Linked DNA regions of Bombyx mori. The protein of the gene in region 2 binds, or shares a complex with, the protein of the main gene of each other region. Links are inferred from orthologs where the notes say so. Each region holds a gene or a part of one and is shown on either strand. Other genes may lie near its edges.

What was found.
Region 1: iron-sulfur cluster assembly scaffold protein IscU (region 2) and frataxin homolog, mitochondrial share a complex: the UniProt entries of both Drosophila melanogaster proteins name them as parts of the mitochondrial core iron-sulfur cluster (ISC) assembly complex. The link is inferred for Bombyx mori from reciprocal best matches to the Drosophila melanogaster genes IscU and fh.
Region 3: iron-sulfur cluster assembly scaffold protein IscU (region 2) and LYR motif-containing protein 4 share a complex: the UniProt entries of both Drosophila melanogaster proteins name them as parts of the mitochondrial core iron-sulfur cluster (ISC) assembly complex. The link is inferred for Bombyx mori from reciprocal best matches to the Drosophila melanogaster genes IscU and bcn92.

What each region holds. Positions count from the first base shown.
Region 1 is NC_085115.1:238,409-242,168, forward strand, and holds frataxin homolog, mitochondrial, read left to right. Parts: upstream 1-1,471; 5' UTR 1,472-1,571; coding exon 1,572-1,853; intron 1,854-2,912; coding exon 2,913-3,161; 3' UTR 3,162-3,304; downstream 3,305-3,760. Other genes in the region: carbonic anhydrase 1, read left to right, coding at 1-25; uncharacterized protein LOC134199323, read left to right, coding at 3,329-3,403. UniProt on the Drosophila melanogaster protein: Promotes the biosynthesis of heme as well as the assembly and repair of iron-sulfur clusters by delivering Fe(2+) to proteins involved in these pathways.
Region 2 is NC_085129.1:12,109,146-12,112,905, forward strand, and holds the start of iron-sulfur cluster assembly scaffold protein IscU, read left to right. Parts: upstream 1-1,477; 5' UTR 1,478-1,591; coding exon 1,592-1,684; intron 1,685-2,532; coding exon 2,533-2,913; 3' UTR 2,914-3,760. UniProt on the Drosophila melanogaster protein: Scaffold protein for the de novo synthesis of iron-sulfur (Fe-S) clusters within mitochondria, which is required for maturation of both mitochondrial and cytoplasmic [2Fe-2S] and [4Fe-4S] proteins.
Region 3 is NC_085108.1:8,217,007-8,220,676, forward strand, and holds LYR motif-containing protein 4, read right to left. Parts: upstream 2,886-3,670; 5' UTR 2,651-2,885; coding exon 2,562-2,650; intron 1,524-2,561; coding exon 1,403-1,523; intron 477-1,402; coding exon 420-476; 3' UTR 339-419; downstream 1-338. UniProt on the Drosophila melanogaster protein: Stabilizing factor of the core iron-sulfur cluster (ISC) assembly complex that regulates the stability and cysteine desulfurase activity of Nfs1 and participates in the [2Fe-2S] clusters assembly on the scaffolding protein IscU.

The DNA.
Region 1 (3,760 bases), on a different chromosome or scaffold from region 2:
TAAAGAATGTGAAGAAAAGCTGTAGTTGCTGGAGCTATGTACTTGTATTGCAACCTAATCTAAGCCATATTATGTATAAGTTTCTGTTGTACCTATGAAGACGACAAAAAAACAAGAACTGGATATCGGGCGCGCAATTACCTACGAAATATAGGAAAATGGCAGCTATAATCGGAGACGCTAAAGGTAATAACGCAAATACGTTAAGGTACTGGTGACAGGGCAAAGTAGCGTGAGTAGTTGTGAGTAAACACGGGTACCACCACCCTGCCTGTTTCTGCCGTGCAGCAAACTGCGTTTCGGTTTGAAGGGTGGGGCAGCCGTTGCCCTGTAAAAACGAAGTCAGTCTCATATCTCGAGGTAGGTCACGGCATTTACGTTGTAAGTGTCTATGAGCCCCGGTAAACACTTAACACGAGGTGGGCCGTGAGCTCGTCCACTCATCTTAGCGATAAAGTTTTTTTCCAAAACAAGAAGTTATATTTCGGTTGCGTAATTCGATTATCTAACAACTCAAAATTCACAAAATATAAATATATTTTTTATTTAAATATTTATTGCAGAAGTGTCGTCCGGCGGTGTCATTCGCCAAAGCTGACGGTAGTGCATGCTGTAACATTCTGGTCCAGCGAGATATTTCGGGACACCAGCAGCAACGCCTGATGCGGCCTGAATGACTGCCGCACCGGAACGGCTGACATAGTGTCGTCGACTATCATCTCTACCCCTTCTACTCTGTCCGAGTTTTGAACCCCTATATAGATCGGACGTCGGGTGAGAGAGTTCCAGGGAGGTCGTTTGGTGGATAGGGCCCCATAAACATCCTTGATCTCATGGTCTACTCCTAAAATCTGCAGACCGTGAAATCCCATATGCCCCACGCATCCCCTAGGGGCAGACACCTCGTATGAGGTTTGGCACCCTGTCCGAAAAGTCGAGTTCATATTGGACTCATAAGCTATTTATCACAAGGTAGGCAGTGAGCTCGTTCAACCACCTAATCATAAAGAATAAAGAATATTTATAATTTTAATCACACATACATATTGTTGATATATATATTATTATATACTCTTGATACACCCTCTTTAGAATCAAATAAATTAGGTGCTGTATCAGCATGTTCATCTAAGCATGCAAAGGCAATAAATTAAAAGATACATGACGTTTAATTTTGTTTATTTTATAGGTTATTGACTTTACAAGAATTATGGAATAATTTTCACGCATATTAGTGACTTTTGATTGTTCGAAATACCCTAAATATATAATATATGTCTTAATGTGTATTAAGAGCAGAACAAAGATTTGCCTGAAATTTCAACCATTGCAATATTTTGTCGTCTTTTTTGAAATGCAAAATCATATTATCGATCAAGATAATTATTAAAAGGCAACGATTTTAAATCGTTAAATCGAGTATACTATTAGAAGTTTCCCTTTGCGAATGATACAAAAAGTCAAGGCTGACAATGACAAACGAGACGTCACATTGACAATATTAAGTCAACAAACTTTAACCTCCTGAAGAATGCATATCAAAATAATATTACGGAGTAGAATTTAACGTAATGATTAGGAATATAATACGTACCGGCCGGTGGCTGGTGCGGCTGCAAATCAATAGTCTCGCCCCCATCGCGATACGAAAAAGCAGTAGTATACTAAAAGACTTCAGACTGAATGTTAGTTGTGGTTTTAATAACCGAAGATTATCTGATAATATCCGCAATGAAGAGGAACCTCTAGTATTTGAAGAGGCTTGCAACGAGACCTTAGAGTCGCTGTGTGATTTTTTTGAGCAGTTAATCGAAGATGCACCGAATTTGAAAGGAGCTGACGTAACATACAGCGTAAGTTAAATTTTCAATGTGGGTAACTACATACTTAACCACTTCTTACTTAATAATTTCTTTAAAGTGGACATTATAAAACCTTTTGCAAAAACTTTAGTTGTGAGAGAAACTGAATCCAATAATAAAAGGTGGAATTGAATGAAACAAATGCTTAAGTTAACATAAAATTTAATATTTAAAGTATGCTCTTCCTAAATTCCAGTTGTAACTTAAAATATTCTTTTCAAAGCGTAATGTTACTACACCATATTAACAGTCAATAATTTAAAAGAGTAACCTTATTTTCTTATTACATGTAATTTTCTGTGCGCACAAAGATTAAAGTATTTGAAACATAAAGAGTAAAGTAAAATAAACTAAATAAATACTGTTCTATACTGTTAAAACAGTTTAATTAATATTAAATATTAAAAACGGATAAAGTCTGTCTATATTTTTTATGGTCATCTTATCTGGTTATAAGAGTAGAACAGTAACAATTCTGATAGCATTTGAGACATAGACTTTTTTTTTGTATGCAGATAGGCATGTGGCCCACCTGATGGTGAGTGGTTACCATCGCTTATGGAAGTCAGCAATGCCAGAAGTAGAGCCAAGCTGCTGCCTACCATTATCTACCCTCCACAAGCCTCGTTTGAATAAGGATATGTTGTAGGGCTTGGGAAACACCGTGGAGTAAAGCTCATTCGAAAGCCGGATGGTACCTGGCAAAAAAGATCTCAGGAAACGCATTGTGGATGAATGCAGTGGGTCTACATCTCAAGGAATGTATTTTGTGGGATTTAATTAACATTTAATAACTGGATTGACTGTCAACTTGTCTACTACTCTAGAGCAAAAAGCAAAAAGAGGCAAAATTACATTCCAACAACATATCTTGTTGTAAGATATGCTTGCTATGTTCAATGTGACAGTTTTAAAGATTTGTCTTTAAAACAGTACAGTACAGTCTGGGCAAACCCAGACTGATAATGATAATGAGTAATGATAATATAAAAGCCCTAAACATTTCTGCCTCTTAATTCTTTCTTAGAAATAAAATAATCCATGTTTCAGGATGGTGTATTAACCATATCATTAGGAAAGCACGGGACATATGTGATAAACCGGCAGATACCAAATAAACAGATTTGGTTGAGCTCCCCCACGTCTGGACCAAAGCGCTATGACTTAGTTCTCGAGGGAGGAGGCTACTGGATCTACAAACACGATGGAGTCACACTCCACAAACTCCTGCAACAAGAAATATCAGTGATAGTTAAAGATAAAGTTGATTTATCAAAGTGCTCACACAGCTTAGTTTGAAGTTCATAAGAAATAAGAACATAGTGTGTATACTTTAGCATAAGCTTTGCTTTAGTTTCAAACATTAACTGAGGCAATCTCCTTAGATTTGGTTTGATTTCAGTTTTTATTTTATTTTAAATATACAGTTGTTTTTTTTATTATTGATTTTTTTATTTTATTTGATAATGGAAGTTATTGAGGATGGAAATATTATTGATAGGATCCCAATTTTGTTGCAAAGAGATTTGGAGTATTATCAGGTTGGTTTATCCAAAGTTTTTATTCAAATTAATAATAACATAACATTAATAATAACGTAATCAAAATTTCATAATAAAAAGCTAACTCAATTTTATGTACTAAATACTACTCAAATGGGTAAATGTCTTATTTATACACATATAAAATACTAAAATAATGACTACATCAACAGGCTTAGCTTTTTATCTGATTTCAAAATTGGTTCAAAATTTATTTAGGTTAATGTTAGTCAAGCTGCAGCTGTCTGCTTATAAATAAGTATTAAATTTCCAAAAAAATCAGAATTTAATTATGGTATCTTAAAATAATTTCTGTATAATTAAATAAGGGAAGTAAATATGTCTTTGTTTAAGAAG
Region 2 (3,760 bases):
CTAATTTCATAGGCTTCTATTACTGTTTTTAATATTAAGGGATCATATGTCTTATAAGGATTTGCACTCTTTGATACGTACACGCGAGGCATATCTAAAAATAGAAAACAACGCGTAACTGATAATATAAATATTTGCCACATAATAAAATAACACTGCATTGATAATTTTGAATAAAAGTTGTAGACAAAAACATCATGAATAAACCAGATTCTTACCAACAATTAAAAAAAATATTGTTATAATTACATAGACAACCCTAGAAACCTGTACCTATTTATACTTAGGTCGTTTCCATTTCACATATTCTCATCCCAATCGACCCCTTTTTCGTTGTTATTTGTACCTGAGACGTCCCCAATATCCCCAAAAACAACAGATTTTTACATGTATTTTTATTTTATCAAATACATTAATACCAATAACAACTGAGACTTACCTTTAATATAACGGCCGTCTGGTGTAGTGGTAAGTGACATGGTCACTACACAAGGTGGTCGCGGGTTCGAATCCCGCCAAGGGAAGATTATTATATGATAAATATAAATGTCTTTTCCAGGGTTATGGTTGTATATTAAATATATGTATGTGTATAATCAAAATCTTACATTTATTTCCGTTATCTGGTACCTGTAACACAAGTTCTTTACGAACTTATCACGGGACCAGTTAACGTGGCGTGATTATTAGTAAATATTTATTTATTTATTTATTTTATATATGATGGTTCAAACACTAATTTGCGTTTATAAATCACAGTCCTCTTCTATTATTTTAAAATAAATAAAAGAGAACAAAGTTTCTAGCACTAAAATAATTACCACCACAGAAAGTTAATTTGAAACACGATTTTTTATAAGTTATTATCATGCATATTCAGAGTTGTTTTGTGAACTTTCAACATTCTACTATTACACTACAAAAAATGGAAGATTTTGCAACGATTAAAAAACTAGTATTGCGCGTCGAAAGATTTTCCTGTTTTTTTCCCCAATCACCTCTCGATCCCTAATCGCCCCATTTTACGGTACCTATTATTGGTCTTTTTTGGCGGGAACGCGAGGAGTGAAGTTGTATGATTTTTTTTTATTAATTTTGTCTATTTAGTGTTTCTTCAGGTTTAAATGTGTAATAACGGTGGTTTATTAATCGTTTAATATTTGTGAAAGTGCACAAATGTGGGGAAATGAAACAAAGCCACTGAACGTAACTTCTCGGGATCCTCCAAAAAGTCCACTGAAAAAATCTCAGTAAATGACCACCATTTTACTGAGATTATATTTCATCCCAAATCATCTCATTTAATTTCATCCCAGTTTATTAATGTCTCAAATTAATCATCTTCATTTCATTTCACTCCATAATATCATTTTTTATAAAAATATGAATATATTTAAATTAAAATAAGACATGACTTAAAGGTCTTAGTTACCAGGTCACAAAATCCCTTTAAAAAAAACCCAACTATATAGTACTATATACTTGAAAACTTGAAACTACGTCCAAATATAATAAGTGTATAATCTATGACTACGTCGTCTAAAATATAAGAACGTTTATCATCTGAATTTGTTTTTCTGAAATATATAAAATGGCTTTTTTAATCAACGGAATTCGTCGATGTATGTGTCTTAAAGGCTTTGGAAGTCCTAATGTGATTCTTGCGGCACCTTATCATGCAAACGTAAGTACCTATATGCATCAAAAATATTTGCCAATGTCAAGGATTATCGATTTTCTACTTTGCGACGTAATTTTGGCAAAAACCTTGACCATCAGAAAAAGCGAGTAGGAGCTAATGGTCGGCCGATTAAAATGTTAATAATTAATTAAGAGTCTTTTAAAATAAACTCCCGGAACCATTCTCGATTAGAAATTATTTTCGAAATTTAGACATTTCTTGCAACATGCAATCGAAAATTGTATAAATTTTGGAAAGTATACATTTATAATTTCATTTTCTCTTAAGATTTATAACAAGCTCTTTAAGCTGTTTAAATAATAAAATAAGCCTCACGAGTGTCAAGTTTTTGTCGAACAATCCAGAATGTACATTCGATCGAAAATTTATTATTTGAATCAACTTTAATAGTAAATTACTTAAATAAAAATAATACTTAGATGGAAATATCCACTACCTTTTTTTCTACATGTATGTTTGTAGTGTCATCTCATCACCTACAAATTTTTCACCATAAAATTTTCAACTACAAATAAAATACACTTTCATTACAACCATATAGGTAAGAAGAAGGATACATCCTAAGTACTATTAAGGATTGAGATTTCAAGTAATTGTCTAATGTGAGAATTTAAGTTATGCAATATCTTCGCCCTAGTGGAAAAAGAGTGCCAGCAACTGTTTCACTGAGCTAGTCAAAATATTATTATACTAACTAAGGGATTTAGAATTGCCGATTTCAAGAAAATGTGAATTCATTGCTATCTAACCAAAGGGACAAACAAACAAACAATTACAGTTTCAGATTTATAAAATTAGTATGTATAATAAGAGTATACTTTATCTTACAGGTCATTGACCATTACGAGAATCCTCGCAATGTTGGTTCATTGGATAAGAAAGATAAAAATGTAGGTACAGGCCTCGTTGGTGCACCTGCATGTGGAGACGTAATGAAGTTGCAAATCAAAGTGGACGAGAATGGAAAAATCGTTGATGCCAAATTTAAAACTTTTGGATGTGGTTCAGCTATAGCTTCAAGCTCTCTTGCCACTGAATGGGTTAAAGGAAAAACAGTTGATGAGGCACTAAAATTGAAGAACACAGATATTGCTAAAGAGCTGTCCTTACCACCAGTCAAGCTTCATTGCTCTAGTAAGTTTTTAATTGTTAAACTGCAATTTATCAACATAGTAATGATATGTACAAAACTTTTTTTACTGGAACTGTAAAGAGTCAGAACATTTACCAAATTTTTTAAGTTCTTTTCATATGAATTACAGACACTAAGTACTTTAATTTGATACCACACACATGAAGCTATTGTCTGTGATTAAATAAAGCATCATATTTTACCATACTGAATTTTAAAATGCATTATTGGAATAACTATGGATTTGGTAATTACTTAATAACAGGTGGCATGTAAGCTTATTGATCCATCTCAGCAATAAAAAATGCTAAGGAAAAGTTAGTGTAACACAGAAAATATTCTGGTCCAGATACAAATTAAGCAAAATACTATCTACGGTCACGGTGGCATAATAATTTTAATGAATATGAACCATTGAATTAGGACCATTGTACTTGTGCCTTCACTCTGTGGTTGATTTATGATTAGTATACTGGACACTATAGCAGGGGTGGGCAAATATTTTGATAGTCGGGCCACATTGCAGATGAAAATTTGACCTCGGGCAAAACAGTTTTTTTTTTCTAATTTTAAGTATAGTTTTTGCTTAGGATGTCAATTAATAATTTTTTTATAACTTTTGAGAAAATTAGTTCGACTCTTCGAATTGAAAAATATGTTAAGCAAATACATGAGTTTCAGTTTCATTATTTCTTTAGTGTTTTACGATGCATGCACCCTCAGTAGATCTATATATGCTTTTATTTCGTTTAATTTTCTGCCAATTTATTGCGGACAGATATTCCTCCAAATGAAAATTAATATAAAATAACTTGCGTTCTACTATATTGCAGGAGAAAATGGCGGCTTTAGATTTAAGTTATTTTGTTTATTCATGCAATAATGTGATATAATAAGTATAATAACTAATAAAATTGTGCGACTCT
Region 3 (3,670 bases), on a different chromosome or scaffold from region 2:
GAACTGACGTTACTCCTTATCATCAGTAAATGCCATTACTGGCCATTCTCTGCTAAACTCTTTAGTACCTTATATACGGACCTCGGAAAGAGTCTAATTTATAATAACTGCAAGTCAACATCAGCACACAGCCTATTTCCAGTATTTCCAAAAAAGTTAGATTATCATCTTTAATTATCACACCTTCTCCCATTCGATTAGGTTAAATTATTTTATGATGCATACCTGTGTATATGCATACCACATATACATTTAATTGTACTTTTAGTAACAAAACCAATTATAATTATTTAAATGAAAGTTCTGAGACCCCTACAGATTTAATTTGAATAAAAAACTCTGCATTATACTATTTATTAGTCAAATGTACATTATACATTACAGATGTTTCATAATAATATACAATTATAAACATGAAGCTACCGCAGATTTTCGATAACAAGTTTTTCTGTTTTATACATATTTCCAATGGCTGCCTGTAAAACAAGATGATTTCATATATGAATTAATCACAATAGTTTAACCTTTTAGTGCAGTTAGATCAGAGGTGGGGTGTAGTGGTAGTTTTCCAATTACAGAGCATAATGCGACTCAGTGACGCACAATGCCAAATTATGCTGAAGCTTAATTGGAACGTGAATTAGTTTTGAAATGCATCAGCAGAGTGCGCTAAGTTAGCACAGTCTTAATTAACATTGATTATTTCTAAGAAACTACGACGAAACGAAAGCCTTACAATTTTTTTCAACATTAAATAATATTACTAACGATAATATAAACAAAATTTCGATCAATGCCAACTTAAAGAAAAAACACTTGTCAATTTTCTGTCACTGAGTCGGTATCGATTGCGAGTATCACGCGAGAGCAGTACTTTTGAGAGTGCTCAATTGTGCTTCGAGTTGCTGCAGTTGGAACATTCAACGTTGAGCATTATGCCGCATAATGAGCTCTTGTGCTGTAATTGGAAAACTACCAGAGTGAGCCTGAATAGATTGGTACCATAATCTCTCCCAGCTCTCTCAGCTCAGCTCGGCAACCACATTTTCTTATTTGAATGAGAAAAAGATCAGTTGTTTAATATTTTGATCAAATCAACATTTCAAACCCATCACAGTAGGGATGAAGTATACTTTATTTTCATTAATAGAAATTTTAGAAAATTGGTTCTCCTTTCCTGCTCCTGAAGACCAACACTGCAAAATGCACTGCAATAAGACTAAGGACAAATTGTAAAAAGCAAAAGGTGGCAGATTTCCCATTGTAATGTTTATAGACTACCGTTACCACTTAACTGATGTGATATAAAGGAAACCAAGATATAAATATAATACTTTTCTAAATAAAATATAAGCTAATTATCACATGTGTTTGATAACATAAATGAAACATATTCACACACCTGTCTCCTGATAACATTTAAATTTTCTTTTCCAAATTCAAACTCTTTCTTCACAATCTTAACATCAGACACATTTTTATTATCTTTAAAAGCATCTCGAATTCTTCTTAGTGCGTATGCTCTGAAAGGATGAATGGTTAAAATTTAGCATTTTTTGATAAATTGTTGATTAATTAATTCATAATTTATTGAGGCTTTGAAAATCTCGTTCATTTTAATTACTGTAACTCTGATGCTGTAGTTATTAATTGAGGCTGATTTTTTTATTTAATTATCTAATTAAGTTTGCTTAAAATGTGTCTTGTCCGCCTAAAAAACTAAAATAACAATTTAAATGCATGAAAATGATAATCATTTATAGCATCATCATCAGTCTACATAATTTTACTGGACATAGGCCATCCTCAAGCTTCACCACAGTGACTGATCCTAAGCTGTTCAAATCTGACAGATTCTCACAACTTCAACATACTGTGGGTCTACCTTCTGGAAGGATTACTTGTACTACAGATTTTGGTGTAGAGTTGCAATAGTGACCATTTTTTCTATGAGCTATATGCCCCTCACAGTGCTAATTTAAACTCGTTGATTACTTATCATAATGAGTAATTAATATTAATGAAGTGCATTAATATCACATTCATCATTCCATTTACCTGACTCATTTCAATTATTATCCAAATAATTGATTCCAAACAAGCTTGATAATTTTTGATTGCGTTGAAATTCATTTTTTTCGCTTTTTTTTTATAGCAAGGGTGGACGAGCTCACAGCCCACCTGGTGTTAAGTGGTTACCGGAGCACATAGACATCAACAATGTAAAGGCCGCCACCCACCTTGAGATATAAAGTCTAAGGTCTCAGTATAGTTACAATGGCTGCCCCAGCCCCTTCAAACCGAAACGCATTACTGATTCATGGCAGAAATAGGCGGAGTGGTGGTACCTACCCGTGCGGACTCTGAAGACGTCCTACCACCAGTAAATACATTTACTTAAGCCTAATAGAATTTGGTAGCCACATATCATGACAAAATTAAAAATGTATTGACTTTGTTTGTAATTTAAGAAGGTAACAAAATTATGCTTTTGTGTTCACTAGTAACGTTGGAGTAAATCTTTCATTTGTTTTAGGTTATATAATGGTGCAAAACATTACCTGAAATTATAGTTAGGGAACTTCTGGGATTCTCTGAGAAGCAATTTATAGAGAGATAATATTTGTATTTTAGGTATCGCGCCAGACATTTCGCTTTATTATTCGACAAGCTTATTAAAAACTATAATATATTGATAAAAGGTAATACCCAATGATATTTGTCTTACGAATTGTTATGACCAGTTATGACATTACACTCCAGTTTTTTTATGTAAACAAAAATTAGACGTTCCGTATTACACGGTGTTAAACCTTTATTTGTTATAAAATAAATTTATCGTGCAAAACTTTTGAATTGTGATAATAAATGTAAAAGAAGGTAAATTCGTAAGTTTCGCGTCTGGGTAGAAGTTTCAATTCGACTTTGATTATTAGTCACAATTTACACTAGTAAGGATGTAAATTTAAGTAGCCTTTGTCTAGCTACACTACAGGATACCGAAAAGTGTACATTGTCAATTTGGTCTAACGTCAGTAACATCTGATTTGACATTCCCGATGTTTTAATAACATTTGCGATCTGATAATTACAAATTCAAATATTGTTATGCTCGTCAGCCGTCATTCTAAGACATATATAGGTACTTACTAAATTAAACAGTGAGTTAAAAGTTTGATGAAATTTAAATTATTTTAACCAAATTATCCAAAGGAAACAAACAACAAAAGTACTTTGTTTACAAGACTAGCGAAGAAAATTGTCATATTTTTGTCAAAGAAGTTAGGATTTCTAGACCATTTTTAAAAATTCACTTGCCTGCACATTTTGTTGTGTAACTTAGCGGAAGATGATTACTAAACATGTTTTGTATGTAAATCACTTAATATGTGTTATGTCAAGTTATGAAAGTTAGCAAAGGAATACAATTTACATACCATGTAACACAAATATTACATACCATGAAATGCCTAATATTAACTTTAATTTTTAAAAACAATTTTCAAAACTAAAAAGAAATAAAGAGACTATTTCGCTTGGTCATTGAAATAATTATCAGGTTAAAATCTAAAATTCTAAACAGATACTATAATAATAAAAAACAAATTAATGATGAAAATTGAATATCATTAATTAAGTTGCAATGGAAATTAAATTAAATATTATCCAT